3 separate regions of the Mus musculus genome follow, and all the other regions are reported to be linked to region 1. The links are microRNA targets in miRTarBase. Many come from high-throughput screens and were not tested one by one. Region 1 holds a microRNA gene; each other region holds the end of a gene's coding sequence.

Region 1 (10,445 bases):
TGAACAGATTATTTACAAAAGCTCGAATATTACCCAAGGCCTTATTGCCACTAGTTTAGGTTGAAGGTTATAATTCAACCTCTGCAAATATTTAAACTTATTTCAAGTAGAACCTGAAAACATCACAGGACCTGCTACCATCTTTTATCCTCCATGTTGTTAGAATCCAAGGTTGAAGGGCCCGAATAAGAATCCATCATCTTTCTGGTTGTGAATGAAGACTTCCCAGGGATTATGAACACGAAGATTTAGCATACAACTACCTCACTCTCTTCCCAAATTCTTTAGTTCCCTTTCTCATCTTGAAGGTCACATTGACTTAAGGATATATAATTATCTTCTATTTTAGTTACCCTTTTTCCTTTTTGTGCAGTTAATAAAATAAATTTAAATCATCCTAACATCTAGAGCAATAATTGAATGAAAATTCTGTCTTCACCATTAGTTCCTGGTGTTGTTTGCTTAGACAAGCAGTTTTAGTTACAGTGTGTGTCAGAGACTTACCAGCATATTCACTACAATGACTTAGAATGTGGTTTGTTCCTCTTGTAGTGTGGTATTCAGAGTGAGAATGCAGAGTCTCTGAGCCTCACAGAAAGGGAACAATACACTATCAACATTTCTTTTTTTTATTAGATATTTTCTTCACTTACATTTCAAATGCTATCCCCTTTCCTAGTTTCCTCTCCAAAATTTCCCTATACCCGCCCCCCACCCCCTGCCCTGCTCCCCAACCCATCCACTCCTACTTCCTAGCCCTGGCATTCCCCTGTACTGGGGCATATAATCTTTGCAAGATCAAAGGCCTCTCCCCATTGATGGCCTACTATGGCCATCTACTGCTACATATGCAACAAGAGACACAAGCTCTTGGGGGGGGGGTACTGGTTAGTTCATATTGTTGTTCCTCCTGTAGGGTTGTAGACCCCTTTAGCTCCTTGGGTATTTTCTCTAGCTCCTTCATTGGGGGCCCTGTGTTCCATCCAATAGATGACTATGAGCATCCACTTCTGTATTTGCCAGGCACTGGCATAGCCTATACCTTCAGATCAAGCTATATACTGGGAGACATTCCAGGTAGTGTTGAGAGGTTTAGCCCTGATGTTGAGAGCTCACTTACTTCCATAGTGGATACATCCTAAATTATATGGTCTTCAAGAAGACCTGGTAGGTGCTGGCTTCTCAAGAGAATTGCCCTTTGTGATGTATTCAGGGATACATTGGGTCCCACCCAGCTGTGACCTGGTATTTACTTCCACAAAGGTGCTGTTACAAAGATAAGGCAAATAGGAACTCCCATTTCTGGAGATAAAAAACCAAAAACTTCTACATTGTCTATTCATTACTCTTTTAAAACTTTTCTATAGGTTGGGATCTAGAATCATGGGAAGAACAGTCATACCCCAAAGAGAACTAGCTTGTTTTTAAAAGGGGGTGAGAGTGAATATATTACATTTAGTTTGTGCTAGGCCTTGACGATTATGTAGCTGATTCTTTATTTCAGGAAAGAAGTAAAAGTGCATGTTAACAAAATAAGATTAACACAGGCTTGGTGGAAATTGTGTGGTATCAAATTTCAGATTTGCCACAAATTTGCTTCCATTTTTACATTTTGACAATAGATTTTCATTAGATAAATAGCTCTGATATTTAAAGATTCCCTCAATTGCTCTAGGGAAACTTCCTTGCTTCATAGGCAGAACACAAAGGAAACTTGTACTTCCTGCTTTCCCACTCTGTAGCATGGGAAGTCAGTGTTTTTGGAGGTTGGTTGAGAATGGGTGGAGACAGAGCAGTAGGGGCTATTGCTGCATTAGCAACTACTCCTTTCACAATAGCTCTGTTTTGTCATTTTGTACCCAGATTTCCGTTGGTTAGCCTCAACTTTATCTTCCTCATTTCTGTTTCCTCTTCATGACACCAAGAGTCCTTCAGAACATGTGACCTTCCTGCTCACAACATAAAACTCAGCTTTCTGTGGCCTCTATAGTTCGGCTCAGCACCTATATCCCATCCAAGACAAAGGCACCACTTCAATGACAGGTATAGTATCTACTTGTTCTCTTAGATTCCCATGCTGAAACAGTGCCCACAACAGCTTTCAGTGTTCTGGATATGCCTAACTGACTCTCAGATCCCAGTTACTGATAAAGGGTCAAAGATAAGACTGATGAAGGTTTCTATTCACTTTCTATCCATGTGATAGAGAGAAGGGACACAAAAATTTCTAACAAATGATGGCTTTTAGAAGATAGTCATGTAGAAGTTAAATGCTTATCAGAGCCAGGAGTTAGGAGTTCTAAATAGCATTTTAAATTTTGTTCTATATCTGTTACTTTTCTTTGGGTGAGTTGTTTCTATAGTCTAGCACTCAGTGTTTGAGTCCCTTTTGCAGAGAAGAGAAAGACAAAGGTGAGATGCTATTTAATGTCTTAGCCTCTATGTCTCTTATTTTGAAGGTTACCAGTCTTTGGTTGGGAAAGAAGATGAGACTGCTGCTTGAATGTACACCTCTAGGCAGAGCTGAACATCCTTTAGAAAACTGCTGGTGGTCTGAAAGGTATGACTAAAACATGAAAGGTTCTTTTTTTTCTAGTTTTGTAAGTCACTACTCCAATTTCAGAATTTAAAAGGCACATAGACGTGAGGACAAATATATATGTGAGGAACAGAGGTCCTGAGAGAAGAAAAGGTAGTTTCCCAAGGCCACACAGAAAACCTGTACTACAACTCAGTCTAAGCCCAGGACAGTGTCCTTTTTCTTCTGCTTTAGGAGGACTGAGATACCAAGAAATAATGGGTATCCTGCAACTGAGGCAGGTGACTCTCCTTATATTGAAAAAAATCTGGATATTAAGACATGGTCCTGAGTACTTCTTTATCACCAAATATATTTTCTGATATGTGGCTTATTCTGGACATTTATAGATTTTTGGTAAAATCTTATACCTCTTTTACCAAGCTTATGCCTTTCAATTTGCGTCATGAAGACTGACTATGTAGTCATCTATGTCTTCATTCTTATGGGTCTGACTAACTTTAATCAACTAAACTTGCTTCTCTTATATGTATTCCTCTGAATAGGTGTGAACTGGAACATCAAGAATGAAAATGAAATAGTCCCTTACCCAGCTTAAGGACTGACTTCTCCATCAATCCTGGAAAACAGTATTTATAATAATCTATTAAGTCAGTGCACTAGAACTCTTTAGCCCCTTTCATGGCTCTTTTCCAGTGTTCTTGGGTTATGTGAGGTCGGATAGGGCAATTGAGAGGCTATGGATATCTCTAAAGTGTCTAGCTCTCCTTACAGCAGATGATAAGCAGAGATGCTGTCAAGAAAACCAAAACCAATAACCCATTACTCCTTTCTCTTTTAATCACTTTCCTTGGCTTTTACTAGCTCCAGAGTTGGAAATAAGGTCTCTTTAAGCTCCCTTCTAAAAAGCTCTAGAAGTCTCATCCAACATTTTTCAAGACCTTGAGATGTAAGATTTCTGTCTCTATTTCTAGAGAAGACAATTGATGCCCAAGAAAACTTTAAACCTGGGTAGGACAAAATTTGATACTATCAAGCATTTTGAATAACAGGATCATGATGCTAAACAAAATATCAAATAAATTGAGATGGCTTGGCTCTTCTGGCAGCTGCCCTGGTAGCTATGAGTTCAAACATCTTAATACTTCCCTGCAAAATCCACTGCCTGTTTTGCTCTTTGTTGCTGTTGCTCTCCCTTTTGCAAGGGAATATAAAAAGCAGACAAGAAAAAGTGGTGGGGTGGACAGCCAAGGGACACAATGAGCTGATGGATGATATAATTCCCAAACTGTAAACAACTTGTTTTATGACCTTTTGGAAGTCTTTCCCTAAACATCAGACTTCATTTTCTCATTTATAATCTTGAATGGGTAAAACTAGATGACTTATAAGGGCATTTTAATATCATTAATTCTTTACTGCTTATGAGAAAAGGCAACCAAGTTAGACAAAGCCGGCTAAGGCCACAAGAAATTACTGTTTCAATTCTGTTAAATAAATTATCTATCTTTTCCCCTGTTAGTATCTATCTTATATGTTTAATTTTAAAGCACATTTTAGTCACTTTTATTTATGTACAGGGGATCAAATACAGAGTATTGTACAAGTTAGGTAAGTGTTCTGCTACTGAGTTTTATCTCTAGATCTTGATTGTTTACTTTTTTGTTTGAGAAAGGGTAGTATTATATAGCCCAAATTGACTTTAAATCTGAGGTTCTCCTATCTCTGTCTATGAAAGCTTGTATGCACACATGTACTATCATACCTGGCTATAGCCACAATTTTTGAGTATTTGTTAGGTAACAAACACTAAATTAATGGCTTTATATGCATTATTACATATTCTTGCCATGATTTCATGGGCATTTTTGTGGCTATGGAAGAAGTAGGTTTCAGGGACATAAACTCATTTATTTAAGGTGTTCAGCTAGTTAATGGTAGAGGTAGAATTCAAATCCAGTTTTAAAAATCAACATCTAGGTACATAACCAGGGTAAACAGAGCATACAAGAAGTTGATAGGAGGAAGGAACACATAAATTGTCCCCGAGGACAGAATGATGACAATTTTTTCCTGTTTCAGCTGAATAGAAGAGTTAATTGAGGCTTGGGCCACCAGAATCTCCAGACAAACACCCAGGATCCCCGTTTTTGTTTGGAGCATTAGCGTGTTTTGTTCACTTCCCTCTTTTGGTGTGTCTTAGTCAGTCATGTTAGTGTCTGCCATTTGTCTCACACTTAGGGTAAGATATAATCACCCTATTTTTTTCTCTTTCCAGTTGCACATCTTCCAGCATGTTCTTGCTGCCCAGTGGAGGTTCCTGATCTGGCCATCTGCAGTGTCACGCTCCGTGTATTTGACAAGCTGAGTTGGACACTCTGTGTGGTAGAGTGTCAGTTTGTCAAATACCCCAAGTGTGGCTCATGCCTATCAGCTCCAGGTCCAGGACAGAGCACATAGCCTGCTGCCTACATATGAATGCTTATGAAACATGAAGCTCTCTGGTGTTATTCTATGTCTTTAAGGGAACTATAACATTTATTCAGAGAACATCAGAGTAGGAACGATGCAGCTCTGGGGTCTACAAGTCTGGTATGCATCTGTGTACATTGTGAAAATGCCATGGACTGCATAGTGGTACATGAGGGATACAGGGAATGAGAGTATTATTTGATTTATTATTAATGTCTTCTTTCACTTTCCTCTTCTTGCAGCCAGAATAGCAGAATTTTCATACAAGCATCATGAATTCTATGAGAAAGTAGGAAATAAATATCCACTGTCTGGCCTTCGGAGCACATCTTAAGCTACCTACATTTTCTCTTTTCCACTTTGCTTTTATCATTCTTAAAAGAACCTTCTTGTTTATCTTCATTGGGCTTTCAGACACTACCAAATTCCAATTCCTCTTGGCACTATTGAAAGTTAACCTATACTTTTCTTTACTCCTTGGCTAACCACATACTGGTATGTGCTATTATATGTCCTACCATCCAACACATCTTCTAAAGTTGTCAGTGAATTTTTCCAGGGTATGTTCTTGAATTCCCTATTATATTGTAAGAATCTAGAGCTTATTATATTCAGTTGATTGCTGTCTCTCATACCATTGTCCAACATTTTAATTATTAATAAATATTTACCAATTAATTGATGTTTTACTAGTCAATAACCTTTTGCTATATAGGTCAAATACCAACCAGGGTTTTGCGAAAAAAATAAATCAAACTGTGGGTATTCTAATGCTATAGTGTATACAAGATGGTAACCAAAATGGATTTTTTTTTCCTCTGAGAAATAAGATTTAGGTCTGGGGCAGGAGGGCAAGAAGAAAGAATAGACTCAGAGGGAAAAATTTTTTGAATTATTGGTTTACACGTGTCTTTTTAAACAGAATTTTCTGAGCCTTTAATATTCTATCATTGCACTGGGGTGAACTTCTAATATAGAACTATAAAATGAAGCATCTCCAATCCCTCTCTCCAGAGTCTAACATTTCATAACATATATTTTGGCAAGCTTCTTTAGAGAAATTCCATACTCTCCCTTGGTTCTGGAGAAATTCCATACTCTCCCTTGGTTCTGGAGATACCTACTTTCATTCTTTAACTTTTCACCCACTAACCAGTGACCTAAATAACAAGACCCATATTGTTACCCCAATTTTGCTCAGAATTGTCGGAGGGATGCATCTCTATCTAGGGATGACTTACTGGCTTACCCTGCATGGAAAAATACCATTGTTTAGGGACAAAGACCATCTTCAGAAGATGTCTGCAGCAAAGTACACACACTGCTAAAAATCCACAGGTCTAACCTCCAGTCTTTGTTCTGCCATTGACTTGATGTATGTTACTTTTGACAAACCTTCATTTCTCTCTGGGCTTCACTTCCCAATTTGTGGTATGTGAATGTTCAGATAAGTAATCTGTAAACATTTTCACATGCAAGAATAGGAGACATTCCTGGTGGTTCCAGTGTTGGGGGTTCCCTGAATTTGTGGCTCACTTTACTAGGGCAATTTCAATAAACATTCTCTCTTCAAGCCCAGGGATTAATTCTAAAGAGCAGAATGAGATAAAGGGTGTTTTCAAGGCTTTCAGGGCTGGACTCACAGATGTTTCATGAAGGAAGCTGAGGTTTCTACTGGGTGGTACCCAGGTTGTGGAGGCTGGTAAGTGAGATGGAGAAGAAGAAGTCATCTCTGACACTAATTATGCATAGCTAGCATTTGTCAAAGAAGAAAATGCTGAGATTTTGGTCATAGACTTGGCAGCATCAGTGGGGGTAAAATAGGGCAGACTGTCAATCACTTTTGTGTACTATTTTGACTTTTGCAGTCATTTCAAAGTGGGAGTACCTCTTGTTGAAACCTGATCTGATCCTGTGCATATGCAGACTACATAGGCAACATGGTAGTTCCCATGAAAATTTAGGAAGTTGATTCGACATGAAATAAATGGGGGGAAAGGAAGCAATGCAAACGTGGCCCCAAACAATTTCTTTACAAGGGAGTTTCATTCCAAAGTACATAGAGTTCCTTCTTTCCTTTCCCCTACCCTCCTGTTCCCTACACTTTTCTTCATTCCCCCCACCCCGTTCCATCAATTAAGAAATAATCTCTTACTCTTCCCATTTATATGCATAAAGCTTTAAAAAACATTGAAACCCATCTTACCACTTTCTCAAATAAACCAACCTATATTAATAAAATTTTAAAAAAGTCTCTTCACATTATAAAAAGAATTGAGGAGAAAAGATGACCAATGCAACTAGTCCAGATATTTTAGTGATATTATACACAGACTTTGAAAAGACAGAAACTACTTTATTTGTACATTCATAGTACGTTGATAAAGATGTGAGGCTTCTTGACAATCTTCCTGTTGCCCCGAGAAGAGTCACAAAGTAGAGAAGATAGAAAGATGGACTGGGTAGTGGATGTTATGTAGAATACTATTTAAGCAAAAATTGATTTGCTTTAGATAGGGCTATCCATATTATGAGAAGGGAGGTGGCATGAGTTGGAAGGTGAAAGACAAACCAAGAAACAAACAGACAACAAAAACCAAAGCTTGGATTAGAGTTACAGGCCTATCATTCCAATTACTTGGGAGACTAAGGCAGGTGGCAAGTTCAAAGCCTACCTAATTTAGAGAGTGAAATAAAGGCAAGCCTGGCTAGGTTAGTATGATATCATCAAGATAAGAAGTAAATAGTATAGCGAGATATAAGGTACAATATGTAAAACATATGAAACTGAAGAAGAACAAAGACCAAAGTGTGGACACTTTGCTCCTTCTTAGAATTGGAAACAATCACCCATGGAAGGAGTTACAGAGACAAAGTTTGGAGCTGAGACAAAAGGATGGTCCATCTAGAGACTGCCATATCGAGGGATCCATCCCATAATTAGCCTCCAAGCGATGACACCATTGCATACACTAGCAAGCCTTTGTTGCAAGGACGGTGATATAGCTGTCCCTTGTGAGACTAGGCCGGGGCCTAGCAAACACAGAAGAGGATGCTCACAGTCAACTATTGGATGGATCACAGGGTCCCCAATGGAGGAGCTAGAGAAAGTATCCAAGGAGCTAAAGAGATCTGGAGGAACAACATTATGAACTAACCAGTACCCCAGAGCTCTTGACTCTAGCTGCATATGTATCAAAAGGTGACCTAGTCGGCCATCACTGGAAAGAGAGGCCCATTGGTCAGGCAAACGTTATATGCCCCAGTACAGGGGAATGCCAGGGCCAAAAAATGGGAATGGGTGGGTAGGGGAGTGTGGTGTGGGGCTTTTGGGATAGCATTGGAAATGTAATTGAAGAAAATACGTAATAAAAAAAAAGAAAAAAAAAGAAAAAAAGTACCACAAAAAAAAAGATAAGAAGTAAAAATAGTACAATATTTTAGTTCAGTGGGAAAATTGTTGGTTAACCCTGGGTTAAATTTTCTGTAAAATGAAGTGGATGCTCACAGTCATCTATAAGATGGAACATAGGGAAAGTGAGGCCCATTGGACACGCAAACTTTATATGCCCCAGTACAGGGGAACGCCAGGGCCAAAAAGGGGGAGTGGGTGGGTAGGGGAGTGGGGGTGGGTGGGTATGGGGGACTTTTGGTATAGCATTGGAAATGTAAATGAGCTAAATACCTAATAAAAATGGAAAAAAAAAGATGGAACATAGGGTCCCCAATGGAGAAGCTAGAGAAAGCACCCAAGGAGCTGAAGGGGTCTGCAACCCTATAGGTGGAACAACAATATACACAACAACAATAGCTACATGTGTAGCAGAGGATGGCCTAGTTGGATGAGAGGCCCCTTGGTCTTGCAAGCTTTATATGCCCCAGTACAGGGGAATGCCAGGGCCAAGAAGTGGGCGTGGGTGGGTAGGGGAGCAGGGCGGAGGGAGGGTATAGGGAACTTTCAGGATAGCATTTGAAATGTATATAAAGAAAATATCTAATAAAAATAAAAAAATTCCTGTAACACACACACACACACACACACACACACACACAGAGAGAGAGAGAGAGAGAGAGAGAGAGAGAGAGAGAGAGAGAGAGAGAGCACAGCAAAGTGCGTGATCTATATTCCTAGGGGTCCTTAGCATTTTAGTCTCATTTTAATAATTTCGGATAGGTCTCATTTTAATAATTTCGGATAGGTCCTATTGTATTGAGAGAAGACCAACACAACTGAAGTTGATGTCATGATTAAACATTTATTAACAACAAAAGAATACATGTGCATTAGATTCATAATGTAGCAATAGTAATATCAATTAAAAGTCATCTGGCCCTAGAGAAAGAGGAGTAATCCTAGACCCATGTGCTTGTCTGAGTTTGTAGGACTGAGACTCACGCTGTCTGGAGGCATGATAAAGAACCTCTACTGCTATGGAATTTCTCTGCTGTTTGGAGAAGAGTTGTGAAGGCCCTAGGAAGAAAATTGTTCTGGGTGAAGCCCAGAAGCTAGATTTCTTGAGGTGCATGTAGTATATTCTTAGCCAAACCCAGGATTTCTCAATGGCCCCAGAATTGGCAGACTAGATAGATACTTTAGGTTGTCTAAGAAGAAAGGAAGCCAGGGAGAAAGCTATGTTGAAGGCAAGTAGTAAATAAGTAACAGGTAATTACGCCAGTAGACCTTGACTTAGTAGGGGCATTTTAGCAGATGTTATTTTCTTCAGTAGCAAGAACTTCTTAGTTTCTGGAAACTGTGTTCAGCAGGCAGGAATAGACATTGTTGATCTGATGGTTATTTGGTACTCCTGGCTGAGGCAAGGATCATCAGAGTAGTCACTAATCAGAGCCTGGGAATCTGGTTCATCAGTTGCGATGGTAGTCACCCTTGTGGTTTCTTCAGAGTTGCTTGTCTTCCTGGCAAACACCCTAGGAACCAAGACCTAGTTACTCATGAGAAAGATTTTAGGGCTTAGATCCTGGTTTTCTAGCATCCCACCACCTATGTTCTTGTTCACTGAATCTCAGGATCCTGCTAGACAGGGACTGTGAGAACAGAAAGTTGGTGTACCTAAATCATCTTGTGTGTTCACTGATCCAGGACATAATATGAAGACATTTATCTGAGAGAGTAAATTATTTTCTGACCCTGAAAGACCCTATTAGGACTAGTTTCAAGGTTTTCTGTCAATGGCCAACAGAATTGAGGGAAGGTAATGGTTAATAAGTTAGAATAGGAGATGGTATCTTACCTGCTCACTCCATAGACATACTCTAAAAAATAAGGAAGATTCATGTCAGAAAATTACATGGAGAGCATATAAGATCTAAACATGAAATCTGAGTACCTATTCAAAGATGGGGGAGGAAACTGAAGAGAATTCCAAGTAACAGCTTTTTAATATCAAGAGGTTTTTGTCATGAGTTGAAATACAGG
Region 2 (10,445 bases), not on the chromosome of region 1:
TGCACTTGTGGGGTGACAGGTGGCCTGAGCCAAGTGACCGCACCTGTGCCTCCAGCATCCCAGAAAGCTGAGCTGCCAAGTGCTTTGCGCCCCTGCTAACACTGCCTCCTCCCTTTCTTTGCAGTCCTTTCAGGGAAGCCAGGGGCGAGCCTACCTCTTCAACTCTGTGTGAGTACATGCTGTCACTAGTGTGTCTGGCTCTGTCCCTCTGCCTGCTCAGTTAATGAGGGCTGAAACGTGTATCTGAGCCATCCCAGTCAGCACCATGATCAGCTGGGAAGAACCTAGCCTCCTGCATCTGTGTTTCTGATGCAGTCATTGTGCCTGAGAGTCTAGCCTCCAGTCCTGACACTTTAGGATTCCCTTGGTGGGCTGGCTCTGTAGTAGAGTGCTTGCTCAGCATGTTGAGGCCCTAGGTTTGATTCCAAGCCCTATAAAGAAAAAACTATTTCCTTCTTGCTAAAGTGGGGGGTGGGAGAGCCGAAAAGCCTGTGATGATATGGACAACTCTGTCCTGGTGTTACTTATGATGTGGGGGAGGGGAGGGGCACTGGGCAGGGAGACCTCCAGCACAGCCACTCTGTGTCTTCACAGGGTGAATGTGGGCTGTGGCCCCGCTGAGGAGAGAGTCCTTCTAACCGGGCTGCATGCAGTGGCCGACATCTACTGTGAGAACTGCAAGACCACACTCGGGTGGAAATACGTGAGTGCCTGGGCATGGGAGGGATGGTGTCCTTAAAATTCTGTGGGTGCTCAGAGGGGAAAGCTTTCTAGAACACATAAAGTCCTGAGTTGTGTCCCCAGAGCTGAATAAAACTGGTTGTGGAGCAAGGCACAGTGTTGAGTGAGCAAAAGCACCTGCCACCAAGCTGGATGCACATGGGAGGGAGAGAACCGGTTCTTGCCAGTTTTCCATTAAAAGCACCACAGAACACAAATGTGTAAACACACAATTTAAAACAAAACAAAACAAAAAAAGGGGCAGGCATTTAAGAGGTGGAGGCATATGGATCAGAAGTTTCTGGGGTACAAGATCCTGTCTCAGAACAAAGACTGCAAGTTCCTGTTGTTTCCTTGGAACAGGGCAGAGCACACCTTGTCCACCACGACACTCTTCAGGCACAAAGGTCAATGCAGTCCTGGGCTCTCCCAGAGCTCTGTGCTCAGACCTTGGCCTGCCTGTCTCCAGCTTCTCTCCATACATAAATTGATTGACATCTCAAAGATGACAAGTTTGCCACTCTTGTCTTTGCCTTATTTCTAGTCCTGGAGTTTGAGGACCCCTCTACTACAAAGACTAGACCGTGTGCCACCCACTCTTGTCTCCTGAGAGCCACTCCAGCCGCTGTGGTTCTGAGGACTTGTGTTTGGGGAAGCCCTTCTATTTCTGCCTCTGCCTCAGCTGATCTACTGGAAGCCACTTGGCTCCCTCATGATAGTGCATCCCGACTGACAGCCAGAGGCCTGTTTTGTGCCTTTTTCTTTTTGCATGTGTTTGTGATGTGCACACTTGGAAGCTGGCTGGTGTCAGGTGTTTCCTGAATATCTGCTTAATTTGCTAAGGCAGTCTCTTCCGAAATCCAGGGCTCACTGCTGCTTGTTTTAAGTTAGTCATCTTGATTCAGGGATCTCCTGCCTGCTTCCCAGATTCGGATTCCAGGCAGCTGCGGCATCTGACCTGCTCTTACGTGGGTTTTAGGAAACCCAACTGTAGTCCTCGTGCTGTGTGGACAACACTTTACCTCCTGAGCCATATTCCCAGCCTCCCTTTGAACTCTGGATTCTCATGGTTCAGGGTAGCATCCTCTTCTTTCCTTGAATTTGTGACCATCTGGTCTTCCAAACTCCTCATGAACTGCAAAGGACCAGACAACCCCACAAAGCATTAGGTTCTGGGAAGCCCAGCCCTTCAACTGATTGGCCATGTTGTCCCTCTTCTGTCCTCCCTGCAGTCACTGCAGCACGCTGCTCACCATTTTCACCCCAGGGGACTTGCCTGTATCTAACAGCCAGGCCTCATCCCCTGACAAATGTGTCTGGGGTGCATCTCCACAGGCTTCATGCTATAGCACGCTAAGGGAGCCTTCGTGGTCAAACTCTCATAAGTGGTCTGCTGTGGGCTGGGAAGATGACACAGTCAGTAAAGTGCTTGCTATGCAAGCAAGAGGATGAGTCCAGACCACTGTCACACATGTAAAGAGCCAAGTGTGGCAGCGTATGTTCATAACCCTAGTGGTGAGGAAGCAGAAATAGATCACTGGGTCAGAGTAAGTCTAGCTGAGTCAGTAAACCCTAGGCTCAATGAAAAACTGTGTCTCAAAATAAAGTGGAGAGGGGAATGGAAAGATGGCTCCGAGATCCCAGGTTCGATTCCCAGCACCCACATCAGGTAGGCAGCTCACACGGTTCCAGTGTCTTCTGGCCTCCATGAGAACTGCACATGCGTGATGCACAGACATATGCAAAAGAGACATACACGGATACGCCCATACACATAAAACAAAGTGGAATAAAATGGCCAGCGGGTTGGCTCAGCAGGGGAAGCACTTGCTGATGTGTGATGTCCTGCATCCTATCTGCAGACCCACAATGAAAGAAGATTCCAAAAGGCTGTGCTTTGACCTCCACACATGTGCACACGGCTGCCCCTCCAGAATAATAACTAATAAAACATTAAGAGAAACATGTAGGGCTGTCAAAACACCACCTCAAACTCTTGGCCTGTGCGCGCACGCGTGCACACACAACACACACAACTTCACCTGTGTTCCACCACCTGTATTACTCTGAAACATCCACATACATCACCTAGTGAAGTGTTTGTGGTGCTGAGAAGGGATCCCAGGGCCACAGGCACACCATACAGTACACACTGAGCTACAGCCCCAGCCCCAGAAACAGAACTGAGTTAACCTTGTTCCTGAGTGTAATGACCCAGTCGTCATCCCCCTGTACTGCCCAGTGCACAGCTCAGAGATAATGACTGTAGTAAAGCAGGGAAGTAAACATGTGTCCTGAAACCTCTCTACTTTTCCCCTCAAGGAACATGCCTTTGAGAGCAGTCAGAAATACAAGGAAGGAAAATTTATTATTGAACTTGCCCACATGATCAAAGACAACGGCTGGTAAAGTGAAGCGGTCCACTCCTGTTTGAATCCTATTTTATGAAAGCTGAGTGTACAGAAGACCTAGCTTCTTGGTGACAATGCTTCTTGAACTTAACCTCACAGGCCAGCCCAGTCTCAACACTTGAAGGTGTCTCTCTAGGCTATCCACTTGGTAAGGTGCCCATTTGAATCCCTGTCGTGTACAATGCGTTTTTGGAAGTCTGAGTTCTTTTTCTAACATCTTAAGTTCTAGAGAAAGAATTGACCAGCTGGTGACTCACCTGCCTAGTGAATACTTTCTTTTACCCTACGCCTGCAATGCCTGGCTGTGTTCTCACCAAGCCCAAGTCCCTAAAAGCAGAGAAGCAAGGTCTCCTCACAAGCAAAGGCATAGTTACCAGAAGTAAAGCATGTCTCCAAAAACTGAAACCAGCCACTGGTAACATGGAAGAGAAGCTAGGAAGCAAGCATTCAGTGTACATCTTAAGCAAATAGGGAGGTTCCTGATGTAGAAGGCGAGTGACTTACTGGTGGCTGAACGCTCTGTCCCAGGGCTACCCAAGTCTGCCACTGAGCTGACTCCCTTGGTGCTGCGGCAGCACAGCGGCTCAGAATGTAGGGCTGGTCCCTGCCACAGAGCAACAGGCTGGGTTTCACTTTATACCCTGGATGTACTTGAAATAGTTATGCATACAGAGGCCAGAGCCAGTACGGGAAACTGCAAAACATGAGAGTTTTCCAAGGTAAAGGAAGAGTTAGCTTAGTATGGGAGCTACCTTTTCTGCCTGGAATCACCTCATGACCTGACAAGGGAGGATCTGGGCCATCCCCCAAGCCCAGGCTCTCAGATTTTAAGTCACAACACATCATACTCTATAAGGAGTGGCCAATTTGCAGAGAGGATGGAGGCCAGAACCATTCCCAGATAAGTTTCATTGTTTTGTACCCTCCCCAGGGCAGAAGGGCAGGCAGTAGGCCTGTGAAGGCTGAGAGCCCTTGAGCTGCAAAGGCAGCATTACAGGAAAGCGCTTAGCACCGGCTGCTCTAGAGCTGCCTGGGTGTGGTAGTCAAAAAGCAGTTTCTATCTAGACCTTTGGGCTCCAGCCCCAGACCTGCTAAACCCACATCCTCTGGCCAGCACAGGCACTCGCTACTCCTCTTCACTTCAAAACCTACATTTTGGTGCCATTTCTTTGCCCAAGATTGGAAGGCTGGTAATACAGGAAATGCCTGCGCAATGCTGGTCCTAGCCCAAGCTGCTTTTTCCCCAGCTACTTCCAGTTTCCCTCTAGACTAAGGCTGGCAAAGCAAAGTGACTCTACCAGTAAGGTAAGTGCTGAAACTCAGCACAAGCAGCCGTGTGACCTTGGCAAGGCTCAGGGCCATCCTTATCTAGGAATGAACACTGGTCAACAGTCTGCTCAAACTGGACATGCCCGCCTGGCTAGTTTTTAATACTTTTCAGAGTGGGAACTTGGTGGCTGAGGCATGGGCGGCTTTCCCCAGTGGGAAGGCGGCAAGGGAGACAGACCCGAGTACGTCCTTATAGATGCCTCAGTAAAGCTGAAGAGTCTTGGAGAAGTCTTCTGTATATACTAAGATTATATTTAGACTTTATGCTCTGGGCATGCTATCTGCCCCTCAACTGAGCACTCTGTATTATCTTTTGTGAGAGCTCTGACTGGAACGTTTTTGCTAGTACTCTATATGACTTACCTGTATTGGGGAGTAATGGATATAAACAAACCATTTATCAAGGTTTTTTTGGATTTTGCGTTGGCCTTCTGTGAAATATAAACCAAAAGAACTGACCATGAGCTGGCTTCAGGGTAAGTGATGCAAGACCACAACCAGGCATGCTGGTAAACCACTGAATGTCTCACCTCCTTACATTTGTAAACAGCACCATTCTGTGACTATTTTAAAGAGGTTTCCTCAGAACAGTGGGAGGTGATACCAGGTCATGAACGCCACTTTGCTTTAGAAATGTGGTTTATTTCCTTGTTGTCTTGTTACTGTATACATAGTATTTTTATACCTTAATGCTTATTCTTGATGGCATCTGTCAGGTATTTGAAGAGATCAGAAATGAGATTTTTTTTCCCCTCAAAAGTCCTTTATTTTCTGATGAGCTCATCAGGCAGTTTTCAAAATCCAAGTGTCTTTACTGTCTAAAACACTACCATTTAAGCTATAGACAACCGACCCATGGAAATGCAAGCCCTGGTGGTCTGTCCTCTGTGCTGGAGGACAGGAGAGGACACAGCTGCCTGCCCTGGGGACAGGTGTCGGCTGCTGAGCAAGGCTGACTGCAGTGCTGTGGAACCCACAGGGAGTTCACCAAGAACAGCAGGACCAGCAAGCTCGAGCAAACAGAGCGCCTTGGCCTCCCTGTCTCCTAGCCAAAGCTGTCAGCCCTCTGTGGCGTGTCTGTGGGAGGTATAAAATAAAGCTCCTGTCGTCACACAGCAAGGTTCCCAGGGTGGGGGTGGAGGTGGGGGCGGCGGCGAGCCACGTTCGTTCCTGCAGCATCCACTAGGAGCAAAGGATCAGGGTCTCAGAGCCCGCTGAGAACCGAGGGCTTCTGGGGTCCTGATGCTTCTGACACCACCTTGTAGTAGCTTGTGAGTGGCCTGAGAAGAGTGTGAGAACACAGTTAGGCACCAGCAGCCTCTGTCCATGCAGGGCTCCCTGCTGCTGCTCTGCCCTGTTTAAATTTTTCTTTTTCTTTTTTTAAGACAAGGTCTCATAACCTGCCTCTTTTGTTTCTTGTTTTTACTTTAGAGGACAGGATCTTGCTGTGCGGCCTTAACGATCCTCCTGCCTCCACTGTATCTAGCCCCACATTGCCTATAGCCAGAGGAGTCAACAGAGGGGTATAGGAAGGCAGGCTGAAGGGCAATGCAGTCTGGCATGTGAATTGCCATCCCAGGCAGGTGGCTATAGTGTACCGGGCTGGGGAAGTGTCAAGAACAGCCATGGGTGAACAGCAGTCATCCCTGAGATCATGCAACAGCAGCTGGAAGTGGAGAGGGAGGGCAGTAGAGCAAGGCAGACTCCCAGAAATACAGAAGGCCTATGGTTTTAACATCAGAAATATAAACAGGTACTAGCTACACCCCAGAACCAAGAACTTCGGAGATTTTGTGGATTCAAGGTTTAGGGTAAAAGGTCAAGCCTAAGTTACAATGTAGTGTGGCATTCTCTAAGGACAGTGCTTAGTGACAGAGAACATAGTGACTGACACGACACTGCCCACACTTGAGAATCAGCTGTGGAAAGGTTCCCAGGGAGCAAAGCACTGTGACGAGCAGGTGGCTGTGAGTGATTTGGACACGTGGGCCCCCCGAGGCCTTTTCAGCTGATACCCTGACAACTGTCCTAGAATCAAAAGTCAAAAGCTAGGCATGGTGGTGACTGCCTTTAATCCTACTTGGGAAGGTAGAGGCAGGTGAATCTCAGAGTTCAAAGCCAACTTAGTCTTACATAGTAACTTCTAGGACAGCCAAGGGTAATGCAGACAGACTGTCTCAAAACATGAGTAGGTGACTGGTCAGGAGAAGTCAGAAGGAAGCCACCTCTTTGTAAGGACCTTTGGCTCTCATAAGAGCACATACTAACTGGGCTCAGCAGGTCACCATCACGGATGCAGAAAGGTAGGCGACAGAGTAGACAGGACAATAAACACGCTTGTCCCAAGCAAGGGAGTACAAGTGCTTTGTGGAAGTGGTGTCAAAGTAAGACCATAAGACCCCATCACAATAGCCTGGGAGTAGAAGCTCCTGCCTCACGATCCAGACTAGGTAGGGTCTGAGTGAGGACCATTTCCAATCTCCTTATCTAAATTTCTCTGAGATCGGCTCCCTATATAGCCAGGGTTGGTCTTGGTATTCTGAATGTTGGGACTACAGGAGCCCCTTGAAAATCTCCATTTTTAACAGGACACATAGGTGGCAGCACTGGCCAAGAAATGTGTTGAGTGTGCACACAGCCATCCTGAGGCAGAGACCACGGCACCAGATGAGGGTGGGGATGCCAGGAGTCCCAGGGGCTCAAACTGGACCCAGGTCTTAGGCAACAGGTTTATTGGCTCATAGCCCAAACTGATGGCAAGGGCAGAAAGCTCAGGGACAGCCCCAGAAGCCCACAGCCCTGCATCCCTACCAGGATCCCTGAGGCCAGCCTGCTGCTACCAGGAGCTGAAGTCCCCAAAGCCCCGACTGGGCCTTTTCTTGGCCGTGGGGGTGGCAGTGCTGGTCGATGGTTCTTCCTCTGCTGATCGTTTCCTGAGACGTGAAGAAAAATACTGCAGTTGCCACAAAAGAGCCAGGAGCCTATGCTTGCGAGTCCCTTGAGAAACTATCCACAGATAGCCTTCCCTTCAGAAGCCCCCCTCCACAGTGCTGCTCCCACACAGCCCAGCCAGTAAGGCATCCTTGCCTGCACCAGGCCTTATCAAGCCCCTCAGTCTTAGTCTCCAGTCTGGCCTGTGCTGCTCTTGCTGGCTTGGTAATCATGAAGCACTATGAGGCTACGGGAGATGCTGCCCATCAGTCACACTCACGTGGCCGCAGGGTGGATGTACTTGCCCACCCCCTGGCGGTATGTCTGGGGTCCCTGGTTTCCAGGCTGGGGCTGACTCATCTTGACCTTGGCCTCTGGATCCACCTGATGCTGTGTCTTCTTCCGTTCCTGGGCAATCTGGGAGGTAGCAAAATGTCTGATAAAGAACCCAAGGGCTGGCTCTTCTCACCCCCAGCTAGGAGGGAGGGCCAAGGCTGATACAGAGCCTCCAGTGTGCCCTCCTGCTCCTAACAAGGCCATGATTTGCTTGGCACCTTCCTTACCTGGGCATCAGCCTCCTCATAGGGGTCCACAAACACTGTGGTTGTACATATGAGCACTTCCTCCTGGTGGCAGAAAGCTCTGTGAGCAGGCAAGCAGACTTCCCCAAACAGCACCCAGTGGGCAGTTGTGCTTTGTTCTCCCTAGGCACATACCTTAGGACGGTCAGTTTTAGGGTCACTCTCCACATTCTCCATGGCTGTCAGCGTGTCAAAGCCCCCAACAACCCTGCAGCAGATTGACAGAGTTGACTGGGTACCAGAGTGCCCCGAGCAGAGAGAGGCATCACGGCAGAGCTGAGACATGCCATGAAGAGGACTGGCAGACAGTGCAGAGCCTCAGAAAGGTCAGTCCAGTCACCAGGCAGGACAGGATGCACCACAACACAGAAATGAGCAGCACACCACACCCAGCCAGGTTTGGTGACTAAAGTGTTCCTGGATGAGCCACAATCCGTGTTTCCATACTTCTTCCCCCCAGTTTGCTAAGGCAGGATCTTGTATGAACTATGGCTGCCTGGGTGTCTCCTCCTCTTGGCCCCACAGGCCAGGAGAGCCAACCTTCCCCTATAGAAATACCCAGTCCTCAGTGGTGGTTGGAGGGATAATAGCCATGTCTGGGGAAAGGCAGTGAAGGCCCACACTGCAATCCAAATATTTACAGCATCTACTCTTACCGTCCAAAGATGGTATGCTTCTTATCCAGGTAAGCGCAGGATCGGAATGTGATGAAGCTGGGGAAAGTACAGGGAGATGAGGAAGCAGCAGGCTGTCCCAATAGTGTGCTCTAGGCTAGTAATGACTGCTCCTCAATAGAAGCCCTGCCCAGCTTGGAGCTTCCTTGAACCCGTGTATGCTGCCCACTGCCTGTCTCTGCTAAGGCTACAGAGGTAAATCCAGACCTCTGGCTCTCCGGAGAAAGCCGGAGTTTGGTTGCCAGACCTCCCTTGGAAGGCAAGCAGGAGAGGCAGGTGGCTTGAACATAGTCATTAGACTCTTTGGAGGAAGGAAATGGAGTGACTCAAGCCCATCATGAGCCCTGCCAGAGGCAGAGGACTGAGTCAGGCTTCCAGGGTGTCTGGAAGAAGCTCTAGACTACAGTCTGTAAACAGGGGAGAGCAAAAGGCTGGACAGCATGAGACAAAGGTGGGAGCACCTGCAATCCTAGCAGGAGGCTGAGCTCGGCCCAGCCTGAGCTACAAGACCTCTCTGAATAAATCAAAAGGAAAGCAGGAAGTATGATATCCCTACCCAGAGCGGCAAGAGGACAGTCCTACAGGGCCAACAGGACAGCAGCCTTCCCCTGATAGCCACATCTAGTGAGGCTCAGAAGGCTGAGTCTACAAGCTGCAATGAGCATGCCTCACCCAGCAAACAGGGGCATTTCTGAGGCCACCAAGCACACACTGTGTACACTTGGTCTCATTTGACTGTACTGCCCTTAACCTCACTATGGAACCAAGGATGCCAGAGCTGACTGTTGCCATCACCTCACAGGTGTGTGCCACACACTCCCATTTCTGCCTGACCTACCTAGAGAGGACTTTGGTGCCTATCTTTAAGTACTATCTGCAGCTCGGAATGCTATTCAACCCGCTGACCTGGGCTCCTTTATTGAAGGGACCTAGGCTTCATCTAGGTTACTTTGATTGGATTTAACTTAGGCTGAGCACAACTTTTAGGGAGACCTCTTAGGTCCTTTGGATATCACCCCCAGCAGCTGAGTAAAAAGAGCTGGACATGGACTCACAACTGAGATTTGTTGGTGTTGGGCCCCGAATTGGCCATGCTGAGCACCCCACGGCCCGTGTGTGAAAGGTTGGGACGGAACTCATCTTTGAAAGGCTTGCCCCAGAATGACTCTCCACCTAGAACAGAGAGAAGCACTGTCAGTGGTCAGCCACAAAGCCTAGTAGAGAAGCATCAGGGAGCCGTGTCCTTGAGGCAGCCTCCCTGATTACTTCTAGATGCCAGAGCCTTCTATACAAGCTGACACTGCTTTCTCACCTGTGGGCCAGGGCTGAAGGCTTAAGCTACAAGGCATCATTCTAACACATGGGTCCAAGTCATAGTTGGCCCATGGAGTTGGAGGCTTGGGGAAGATTGCTGTGCTCTGCAGGAGCAATGGGGGCACCTTCTTGCATGACAGGAATGCATGGCCAGACCTCCTGAGAGTGAACAAGTGGTTTCTGAGAACTTCACCTCCCTGTCTTGTTATGGTAGGACCCTGAGGATTAGGAAAGAGGCCCTGATACTGTGGAAAAAGTAAGGGGCATGCACAAGGTAGGCCACAAGGCCAGCCACTGAATGGCCAGCCACCCCCAAGTTTGAAAGATTATATACCCAGAACTTAAAACCCAGCTCCCTACCAGGCCCCACAGAACAATCACATTTATTATTCCAACAGAACAAGGCTGGCACCAGCACCTACCTGTGCCTGTACCTGTGGGGTCACCGCCCTGGATCTGCAAAAATAAAACCCAGTGAGGCCATT
Region 3 (10,445 bases), not on the chromosome of region 1:
CTCAGCCCAACTCCTAGCCATGTACAGAATATTATATGTGTGTCTCAAGGTTTCATGGTTTTCCCCACAGTCTTTGGCTATTGAATCTTCAGGTCACATAGACAATCTGATTGTTGATACAAGTACTAAGTTTCCAATAACCTTGAGTTGAGTGGAAAAAAACCTCATTTGAGAAGCTGGGCTTGGCAGTAGAGTGAAATTTTAGTGTAATGTGTTCTTGTGATTGAAAAGGGAAAGGTAATCTGGGTGTTTACACAAAGCAAAATAGGTGTGTATTTTGGCTTTGGTTTGCTTTTTAAATACAAGAGCAAGACAGAATCTAACTGTTGAGTCTGAGGATGTAGTGAGTAGATGAAGTGCCTTTCCGTGCTGCTCTGTGACTGGTCTGAAGGTAAGTTGGTTGTATTGTTGGTAGACTGTGCCAGGCTTCTCCCAACAGAGTAAAAGTGATTTGGCCCTGCACTTTAATGGTGGTTACTAAGTTCTTCTACATTCTAGCTTCGAAAGGGGGTGGCACTAGATTTTGTCATTCTGAACTCTGGTCTCAGTGTAGCTCCTGTCAGCATATCATTACAGAAGAGGCAGGAGTTTGGGGTATTGGAGGGAGCTCCCATAGGGTAATCACAAACCAAGATGCAGGGCCTGCCTGTGTCCTGAGTGGCACTGATCCTCTTTTACTCTGTTGGGATGAGTCTTTTTTTTGTACCTACTCAGGGCAGTTACTAACTTCATCTTCTCCCCTCTTGCTGTCATCTGCATTCGTGCTCTCCACCTCTTGGCATGTCTTTACCTTCTCTTTCTCTGCCACATCAACCTACACAATGTCTCCTCATTGACGTGGAAGATGTGGAAGATGTCAAGTTTGTCATCAACTACGATTATCCAAACAGCTCAGAGGATTATGTTCACCGTATTGGCCGAACGGCCCGCAGCACCAACAAGGGCACTGCCTATACTTTCTTTACCCCGGGCAACCTGAAGCAGGCTAGAGAGCTGATCAAAGTATTGGAAGAGGCCAATCAAGCCATCAATCCAAAATTGATGCAGCTTGTGGACCACAGAGGTGGCGGCGGAGGAGGGGGTAAGGGTAAGTCCTGGAATTTTCCAGGTACTGCCAAGGACTTGTAACACTAATTGTGCCATTTTTTTCTGCTGGTTTTTCTTTGTTGGTGAGTTTTTAGTTTTCCTTTTTGTTTGTTTTGTTTGGATGACAAGGCTCTTGTTTGGAGTTGGAAAGAAATTTGTGGCTTTGAATAATCTCATTTTAAGTGAAAAAGTAAGTCTGGTCATTGTGTTACTGTTAGAACCCAGTGTTCTTGTAGTTGAGGATTTAAGACCCATTATTTATTTAAATTTGGGGTTACATGGTACATGTCCAAAATTAAACTAGTAGTACATGCCTGTGAATCTTTTAGTTTGGTTTTTATTCTTTAAGACAGGGTTTCTCTGTGTAGCCCTGGCTGTTCTGGAGCTCACTTTGTAGACCAGGCTGTTCTCAAACTCAGAAATCAACCTAACAAAGCTGTCGCTGTCCAGCCAAGCTTGGGTTTTGTTTTTTCAAGACAGGGTTTTTCTGTATAGCCCTGGCTGTCCTGGAACTCACTTTGTAGACCAGACTGGCCTCGAATTCAGAGATCCGCCCGCCTCTGTCTCCTGAGTGCTGAGATTAAAGGCACGCACCACCACCGCCTGGCGGGTTTGTTTCTTTTATTTATTTGCTTGTTTTATGTATATGAGTATCTACTTGCATGCCAGAAGAGGACATTGGATCCCATTACAGATGGTTGGGAATTGAACTCAGGCCCTCTAGAGTCAGTCAGCTCAGTCAGTGCTTTACTGAGCCATTTCTCCAGCCCCAAGCCTATGTTTCTTAACACATGGAGGTAAAGCTAGGTATGTTATCTTTTTGGGACAGCTTGAGCTTCATAGCTAGACCCTGTCTCTTAAAATTTTAACATAGATAGCTAAACTGTTTTTCCTTCTTGATACCTTTGGAGAATTTGGTAATTTTACCTCATTTCATAGCATAGTATTAACCGAGGCATACAGTTGATCTACAGCTGTGTGGTACACTCAGGTTAAGTTTGGTTTTGTTATCAAGAAGACTCTAAAAGGCACCAAGTTGAGTGAAGTATTAACTTAGAGACTAGCGTTACAGATGAAGAACATGTGTTGAGTATTTCTGTGCCCCTTTATGTTCAGTTTGTTGGGATCACATACTCGGCATTTTCTTCCCACTAGGAGGCCGCTCACGATACCGGACTACTTCTTCAGCCAACAATCCCAATCTGATGTATCAGGACGAGTGTGACCGGAGGCTTCGAGGGGTCAAGGATGGTGGCCGGAGAGATTCTACAAGCTACAGGGATCGTAGTGAAACCGATAGAGCCAGTTATGCTAATGGCAGTGGCTATGGAAGCCCAAATTCTGCCTTTGGGGCACAAGCAGGCCAATACACCTATGCTCAAGGCACCTATGGGGCAGCTGCCTATGGCACCAGTGGCTACACGGCGCAGGAGTATGCTGCTGGCACTTACGGGGCGAGCAGCACTGCCTCAGCAGGGAGGAGCTCTCAGAGCTCCAGCCAGCAGTTTAGTGGGATAGGCCGATCTGGGCAGCAGCCACAGCCACTGATGTCACAGCAGTTTGCACAGCCTCCAGGAGCTACCAATATGATAGGCTACATGGGGCAGACTGCTTACCAGTACCCTCCCCCTCCCCCTCCCCCTCCTCCATCTCGCAAATGAAACTGCATGGCAGGAGTGACTCGTGCAGATGAATTACACATCTAAAGGAACACTGTCTTTTACCCTTCTAGACCTTTTCATTTTTATTTTTTCTTTTCTCAACCATTACGGTTTATCTTTTTTTAATGCAGATAGTTAAAATTTCACTGCCAGGTTTCTTCTGCCCACCCAAAAGATCCAGTCTATAATTACAGATTTTGTAAGAAAAAATATATATACACATAACTGACTGGAAAGAATTAATTTCTTTCCCCCAGCTTAATGCATGTTGAGGATATTGAGCTATTTTTCATCTTAAAGGTATTAGGCACTTTTGTTGGAGCCTGTTTATCCATGGGAGGGTGGGTAGGGAAGGAGGGACTGCTCTGCAGGAAGTGGTATCTGTTCTTTAGACTGCTCTCCTTAGGGAGGAGCCAAGAGGGATTTCCATGCACACTGCCCATGGTGGGTTTAAGTTACTGAAGTTCGATTACTCAGGCCTGATGAATTTTTAAGACTGCTTTGTTGGTCATTTGGCTGATGGCTTCTTATGTGCATTCAACAGTTAAAAATTCCTAATCGATTCTGTCATCATGCCCCCTCCCCACTTGTTCCTGCAGTTATTAAATATTAACCAGGTTAGTGTTGAGTTAGAAATTACATTTCTGAGTTCAAGCGTTGTCTTTTTAAGTTTAAAAAACTATAAAGGGTTGTTTTTACTAGGTAGACTGGCATCTGGGTAGAGGCTGCCTGGGATTTTTATCCCCACATAACCAGGGGCCATCTGAAAGTCATTTTCTAGCCAGATCAGCCACTGAGCGGTAAGCATCAGCGCTCAGCAGAGCCTTCCGAGCAGCATTTAGAAAGCACCTTTGGGAATGATGGACTGCAAGGGAGTGGGCGGATCTTCCTCTTAAACAGTATTCTTAGAGTAGGATTGACCTCATGGGCTGCTCTGCCCACTTGGTCAGGCTCTCCTGAGCAGGACTGCTAAAGAGCTTGCCTCCTCAAAGCCTGGTCTCTGAGGTGCTTTCTAACAGCTGGAGGCACTTGTTCTGGGCTTTCCTTTGCCCTCAGTTTTTCACAGGTAGGTAGTAGCCATGGAGGGCTGAAGCCCAGGCTCTCCTTACTCTCTGGAGTGTGAAGGTAGGGGTGAGCTCGTCTCACCCCTTTATTAAATGCTCCTGGAACTTGGAAGAGCAGCAGATGAAGTTGGAAAGAAAATTCTGCTCTTATCACCTAAACAGGACAGGAGAGCAGATGCCCCAGCGCCTCTAGTAGATGGTAGTGGTGGGGCTAGTGTGTGGCTGTTACCTGGGCCGCTCAAATTCATTCCAGGGAGGAGGCTCCACTGCATTCTTTGGCTGTGCCCTGAGGGTGCCTGCTCCTTTGTACGGTAACAGTCAATTTTGAGGTTTCTTTCAGGAAGAGAAAGGGATGGTTTTGAGGGGCTCAGAAAATAGGATTCAGTGTGTAACATAACAGGTAGGTTGTCAGCATGCTTGGCATTCTTCTGTTTTCCTTACCGTTTTACAGACTATGAAGCTGAGGGGGGATGGTAGGCACAGATGTGTGGCAACCCTGCTCTGTGCTCTGAAACCAAAGTGTGTCCTGTCTTGTCTGTCTCTCACCCTGCCAAAAGCAAGTGTCTAATCACTGATGCTGACCAGCCTGTTACAGATACTTTCTACAACCAAATTCAGATTTATTTTTTATTAAGCATTATACCATGGGCTGTCCTGTGCTCCTGTCACTCTTCAAAAACACCCCTTCTATTACTGCCTCCGGGGATGAAGCAGTAGCTAGGTTGCTTAACCTCCCCTCTCCAGCAGAGGCATAATCCAGATAAGTAGCAGATGTCATATTTCATAAGCTCTTTTGGCCTGGGTACAGCAGAAAACTAGCAGTTTTCCTACTTGGCGCAAGTGACTTGTGCCTCCTTGTCTGTCCTTTGTCAGCACAGGTGCAGGCAAACCCTTCCAGCTGGGTTAATTGCCGTTTATGGTTTACTCACTTAGGGAAAGGGCTTAGGTGTTAGGCTGTGGGCTGCTTCTCCCTAACCATCCATTGTGCAGACTTCTCATCTAAAAAGGTTGGTGGCTTTTGCTTGGGATCAGTGCTCTGCTAACGCCCTTGCTGGTCTCTCCACACATTCCTGTCATTGAGACTTGAATTGTAGGTGTGATGTTATGCACAGGATGCTCAGAGCTATGTTACTACTATTCTTAGTTTGTAAATTGTCCTTTTGATACCATCTTGTTTTCTTTTGTAGGTATAAATAAATACTTGACAATAAAGGTGTGAATTTTTTATTACATTAAAACTTAAAAAGAGTTTAAGTGTACTCTTAATGTTTTCCTCCAAGCAGTGAAAACATTAAGCAGGGTGAGTGTATTAGGCATTCTATTTAGCACCTCAGGCTGGGAGGGGAAGGCTACATTGGTGGTTCTTAGCACAGAATGGATTTACACAGTGGCCATGGTGTCCATCTCAGCTAACAAGTGAGCTAAGCAGTCCTAAGCACTTGGCAGAGCTGGTTATTTGGACTGCTTACAGCTTGCAGGCCAGGTGGACATGTGGCTCGAGTTCAGCACGCTGACCTAGGGAGGTTCTCTGAATGGATCTTCCCAGCCCTGGGCATGAGTTGTATAGTCCTAAGGAAGCAAGGAGTTGAGCCACTCACGGAGGTATCTACTGCTTCTCTTCACTTGGCACTTGTAGGGCACCATCCTTGGGCAGATGGGCTAGGTATCCCATTCTATCCATGGTGGATTAGGGAGGTGCTGCCGTTTATCCCAAGATGGTGCTTTGCTCAAATTCACACCAGTCACTCTAACATGAAGTCCCAAGTCTTGGCTTGAAGTCATGAAGCAGTGATCCGGATGGTTTGCTTTAGCTGCCATAGGGGTGGCCCTTCTCTTCAAACTGGCACCGGGAGGCTTAATTTCTTTCCTTTAAGGACTAAGGAAAAAAAGATAAAATTTTACTATGTGTTGTACTTAAAGAAGAATTCCTGCCCCCCTCCCTCCACTTTAGCTGGCCTTGAACTGGAGATCGCCTGCCTTTGCCTCCCTTGTTACTTGTTGCGGGTCACCCGTGGGGTTTATGCTGTTTCCCCCCACTTTGGTTACTGGTGTTCTTACATCATTTTAGATGAGTATGTCTACTCCATTCCCATAGCCTGTGTCTATCCATCCCAACCCTGTTTTTAAACTGCCCTGATTAGTCTCTGCATGGTGGCTGCTGGGCATGGTGACACAATAACAAACCCCATAACCTAGATCCCTGGGGTTCTGTGTGAACTTAGTTTCCTTGCGTTTCAAGGTCTACTACTGCTAACAGCTGCTTCGGGGCTTTTGGAGATTGAGGTTTTCCCAACCAAGTTTGTCAGAAGTCCTCAGTTTTCCTGTCTGTGCACGTTGCTGATTGCTATTGGTCTGTGCCTCCCCAGATCCAAATAAGCTCCAGAGGGATGAACCTTGGCTCTGCCTCAGACCAGTTGGAGTAAGTCTGGCCCTCAGGGAGTGACACTGTTGGGAGGCCTTGGAGGACTCCTAGTGTTCAAAACTCCCGGACAAACACATGAAACGGCTTTCTCCTGGCAGGAGCACTCCTCCCTCTGGAATCAAAACTTGTAGGCCAATCGAAAACAGGAAGCAAACATTTTCCTAGTGGGTTACTAAATGGAACTACTCCCTTCTCCACCCCTTGATTCCTGGACCCATGGATCCTAGTTATAGGAGAAACTCTACCGTGTATCAGACACTGATTCAAAGCATATGTTGCCTTCAGTAGATACCTGCCCCAGCCTTCAACGCCTGGCTCTACACAGTGCTACATTTCCTCCAACAAGGGCATACCTATTCTATAAAGGACATGCCTAATAGTGTCACTACCTGTGGGCCAAACATTCAAACAGGTATGTTTACGGAGGCTAAACCTATTCAAACTTATACAAGTACCAGACATAAGAGTGCACAGTGACCAGCACTCAGGAGGCAGAGGCAGGCAGATTTCTGAGTTCCAGGACAGCCAGGGCTATACAGAGAAACCCTGTCTTGAAAGAAAGAGAGAGAAAGCAAGCAAGCACCGTGACACAGGACCAGTGCCTACCTTTGGTCACATACAAGTAGAAGAAGTCACAGTAAAAGATGGTTTGAACAACTCCAGACACTACTGAGATCTGGTCATAGAAGTTCTCTGTCTGGTACCGCCTGATCCAGTTGGCCAGATAGAGGAGCCGATAGAGCCCCAGGAAGAACAGGTAGTGAGTGGTGATGGTCTCAGCCTCTCCGGTCTTGCTGATCATGAAGAGCTGTGGCAGGATAGCCACTGACTCCAGATAGATGGAGAAGGTCCAGAGGACCTGTCAGAACAACAATAGAAAGGCTGGAAGTCCTTTGCTTTAGAGGACTCATGTAGTGAACGTTTGCTGAAGAGAATAGTTTGACACACAATCATTTTACAGGGTACCAATGTTGCTTTGAGCAAACTTATCTCCCTAGGAAGGAATAAGACCCCAGAATGTTTTGCCACAATAGGTTTAAGAACTTGTATTTATGGCTTTTTGCTGTTGGGAATAGAAAAAAAGGCCAGAGGGCACTCTGCCCATAGTGTCCCCAGCCCTGAACTTTAGTAGTTAAACCTGTCCATCACTTACAGAAATACAAACTCAGGTATGTAATGCCTGCTTGTTTCACAACAGTGCAAATTTGTCCATGAAACATAGTTTTGACAGACTGCATAGTGTGTAAGTGACATTTAAGATAAGGTGACAAGGAACAGCCAATAAATATCGGCATAGAACCTCCAGAGATGATAGCCTTTCAAAGCTCAGGCCCGCTGCTGACTCAGCCTTGGTACTCTTGGGGACACAAGGTGTCAACTGGAGGAGGGTTACCACCTGTTTAACTTGGAGCCTTTGGGAACTTCAGGACTATGACTAGATGAGCCCCTTCACGGTGGGGTGGAGGTGAGTGCTGTGAACGGTGAGCAAAGGCTCATGGTAGAAATGCCCAGATGGCCGAAAAGGGTGCTGGGAGGCAGTCCTGCCTTGGGACTAAGACCCACCTCCATCGGCGTGTAACTGTAGTTCACCAGAAAGGAAAGGCCAGTCACGGGGACCAGGAGGAACTCCAGCCGGAATGTGTCATTTTCAATGTCAAACGTTTTCCGGAACTTCCAATAGATCATGTACACTGTGACATAGGCACAGAGGAGGAAAACCACCTAGGGAGACACGGACGTCTATGACATCATTTAACACTCGTACTAGACCATATCTGTAATTCTAAGGGCTATCATGCTATTGTCCCCAACAGGCCACCCTGCCTCTGTGTGTGTGCACACGTGTGCATGTGTGAGGAAGTGTGCATGCTTGTGTGCGTGTGTGCGTGTATGCATGATGTTTCTGGGGCCCCTAGAGTCACGAGTTGGAGGTTTGCATTAGAGTCACATGAGTAGCTTCTCTGATGCCATCCCAAGGGTTTTTTTGTTTGTTTGTTTTTGGGGGGTTTTTTGTTGTTTTGTTTTGTTTTGTTTTATTTTTTTGGTAGGTCTGGGCAGCCTTGGAATTTGCTTTTCTAACAACTTCCCAGGCTGTGCCAATACTGTTGGGTGGCACTAAACTACACTGGCACAGAGAGCTCACTCACACTTCACTAGGATGAGAGACGAATGCTGTCACCACACCCTGTAGCATGGTGTCACATGCTCTGTGAAGATCTGTCAGTCTGTCTCTGTCACAAGAGGATTCATGGGCAGGACCCTCCTGTGAGTCCTTACTCAGCACAGATTAGTGACAGAGGGAACACAAGGAGTGACGACCACATTTCTATTCCATTACAGACAACATCTCATCCAGTCACAGCAAGGCTGGGTCTGCAGAGAAATGAACTAAGCAGGTAAATGGGCCAGCCTCCTGTAATTCTAATGGTGATTTTAAGACTCTCCCACCCCCACCCCAGCCAATGGTCTGGAGAGGTGGCTCAGAGGTTAAGAGCACTGACTGGGGGCTGGAGAGATGGATCAGTGGTTAAGAGCACTGAGTGCTGCTCTTCTAGAGGTCCTGAGTTCAATTTCCAGCATCCACATGGTGGCTCACAACCATCTGTAATGGGATCCGATGCCCTCTTCTGGTATGTCTGAAGACAGCGACAGTATATTCACATACATGAAATAAATAGATAATAATAGATTCACACTGTGTACAGCTGCTTCGCAGGAGACAACATCCTCTTACCTCTTCCACTGATGAGCTACCTGGAACCCCAAAGGATGTCTCTGAGACTTTTGATGTGCTGTATCATCTCTTGAAATATTTTTGGGGGGCGGGGCATGAGGGGAGGTTGGTTGAGACTGAATTTCTCTGTGTAGCCTTAGCTGTCCTGGAACTCAATCTGTAGACCAGGTTGGCCTCAAACTCAGAGATCCACCTGCCTCTGCCTCACAGTGCTGGGATTAAAGTAAGATTTTAGGATTTGGCTTAGCCATTCCATGACTAATATACTCATTTGCTTATGATGTTCTGCCCTGAAGGTATAGGATCCATGAGTCTTGAATGTCTCCAAGTGCCGGGCACAGCAGAGCAGGACACACATTGCACAGGTGTATGGCCAATGCAGTTCACTAAATGCCCAGGGTCCAGGAAAAAAACATCTGATTTGTTTATTGTTTAACCATTCTGTGTGATCGTTAATTATTAGGAAATATTCAGTCCATGGTAGGGCGCCAGTGTTTATGTCACTGTGCGTGCGTGCGTGTGTGCATGTGTGTGTGTGTGTCTATGTGTGTGTGTTGTTAGTGGGAGTCTTTTGAGACACCGTGTCACTGTGTAGCCCTGGAACCAGGTTGGCCTTGAACTTGAAGCGATTCTCTTGCCTCTCTGCTTCTCCAGTGCTGAGAAGACATGAGTGTATCATGCATGTTACTTGCCTCACACTTAAACCTGTGACCTTGATGAATCTCCCAGCCACCTCTCTGAGTGAAGTACAAGTACCATGGTGGTCCTGAGCAAAAAGTACAGAGACCCGTTCCTGAAAGGCCGTGGGCAGCAAGGCAGGCGAGCCAGCTCCAGCCCTGGCCTCAACTTGCCAGCACACCAGGGATCCCCATGCGTTTACCTTCATCACTGTGTTGTAGATGGAGATGAAGTTCGAGAAGAGGTCCAGGTACCTGGTGGTAAAGACCAAAGCGAAAAGAATCTGGCTCTTTCCAGAGATGCCTGTGCAGGGTGAACAAGGGAATCATGAGAACATAGCCTTCAGGGTGGCCAGCCAGGAGCGGCTATCCCTGCCCTGCCCTGCCCTGCCCTCAGTCACTGGAGTCCCTGTGCCTCTTGTTGAGCTATGATCTGTCTACAAATAAAGATTCGAACACTATGTTCCCTGTCACCTTGCGTGCGCCACCTTGGTGCGTCTCTGTGGAGGATGCGGAGGTGGTGTGAGTCGCCTGGATGGGGGTGTTGAGGCTGTTCTGTGTGCCACCCCCAGAGCTCCAGTGGCAACCCCAGAACTCCACTGTGGGAGAACTGACTCCAGCTGCTGATTCACCAGGGAGACAAGCAGGCAGAGAGAGTTAGAGATCGGCCAGCAGCGCTCTGTTTTCAAAATGCACCTTTTTCTACTTATAAAGGTTATGCCTATATTTATTCATTGCAATACAAGAATTAGGGGTGCAACTCAGTGACCGAGCACTTGCCAGCATATGAGAGGCCCTGGG

What was found. The annotated mature microRNA mmu-miR-223-3p reads UGUCAGUUUGUCAAAUACCCCA and lies in region 1 at 4,931-4,952, shown strand. An mRNA with a match to its seed (bases 2 to 7 or 8) in the 3' UTR can be bound and repressed. Matches are read on the target gene's strand: a 7mer-m8 pairs with bases 2 to 8, a 7mer-A1 pairs with bases 2 to 7 and ends in A, and an 8mer does both.
Region 2: the mRNA of Ypel1 is a reported target of mmu-miR-223-3p. Seed matches in the 3' UTR shown: 7mer-m8 at 4,913-4,919.
Region 3: the mRNA of Ddx17 is a reported target of mmu-miR-223-3p. Seed matches in the 3' UTR shown: 7mer-m8 at 2,971-2,977.

What each region holds. Positions count from the first base shown.
Region 1 is chrX:96,237,954-96,248,398 of GRCm38, forward strand. It overlaps Mir223 (microRNA 223), which reads left to right and starts at 4,864; the gene lies at 4,864-4,973. F630028O10Rik (RIKEN cDNA F630028O10 gene) reads left to right here and starts at 1,973. Exons shown (of 3, transcript NR_030718.1): 1 at 1,973-2,043; 2 at 2,460-2,560; 3 at 3,085-5,689. Vsig4 (V-set and immunoglobulin domain containing 4) reads right to left here. Exons shown (of 7, transcript NM_177789.5): 6 at 10,261-10,282; 7 at 9,248-9,937. The coding sequence ends at 9,769.
Region 2 is chr16:17,081,474-17,091,918 of GRCm38, forward strand. Ypel1 (yippee like 1) reads left to right here. Exons shown (of 5, transcript NM_023249.6): 3 at 125-168; 4 at 595-703; 5 at 3,043-5,263. The coding sequence ends at 3,129. Ppil2 (peptidylprolyl isomerase (cyclophilin)-like 2) reads right to left here. Exons shown (of 21, transcript NM_001252444.1): 14 at 10,383-10,416; 15 at 9,702-9,819; 16 at 8,629-8,685; 17 at 8,108-8,180; 18 at 7,955-8,017; 19 at 7,672-7,808; 20 at 7,272-7,393; 21 at 5,082-5,740. The coding sequence ends at 7,297. Among named protein-coding and RNA genes, the nearest start is that of Ypel1, 17 kb to the left of the region's middle.
Region 3 is chr15:79,522,314-79,532,758 of GRCm38, reverse strand. It overlaps Ddx17 (DEAD box helicase 17), which reads left to right. Exons shown (of 13, transcript NM_001040187.1): 12 at 845-1,081; 13 at 2,242-5,063. The coding sequence ends at 2,747. Kdelr3 (KDEL (Lys-Asp-Glu-Leu) endoplasmic reticulum protein retention receptor 3) reads right to left here. Exons shown (of 5, transcript NM_134090.2): 2 at 9,848-9,948; 3 at 7,797-7,955; 4 at 6,840-7,092; 5 at 5,020-5,687. The coding sequence ends at 5,647. Among named protein-coding and RNA genes, the nearest start is that of Kdelr3, 11 kb to the right of the region's middle.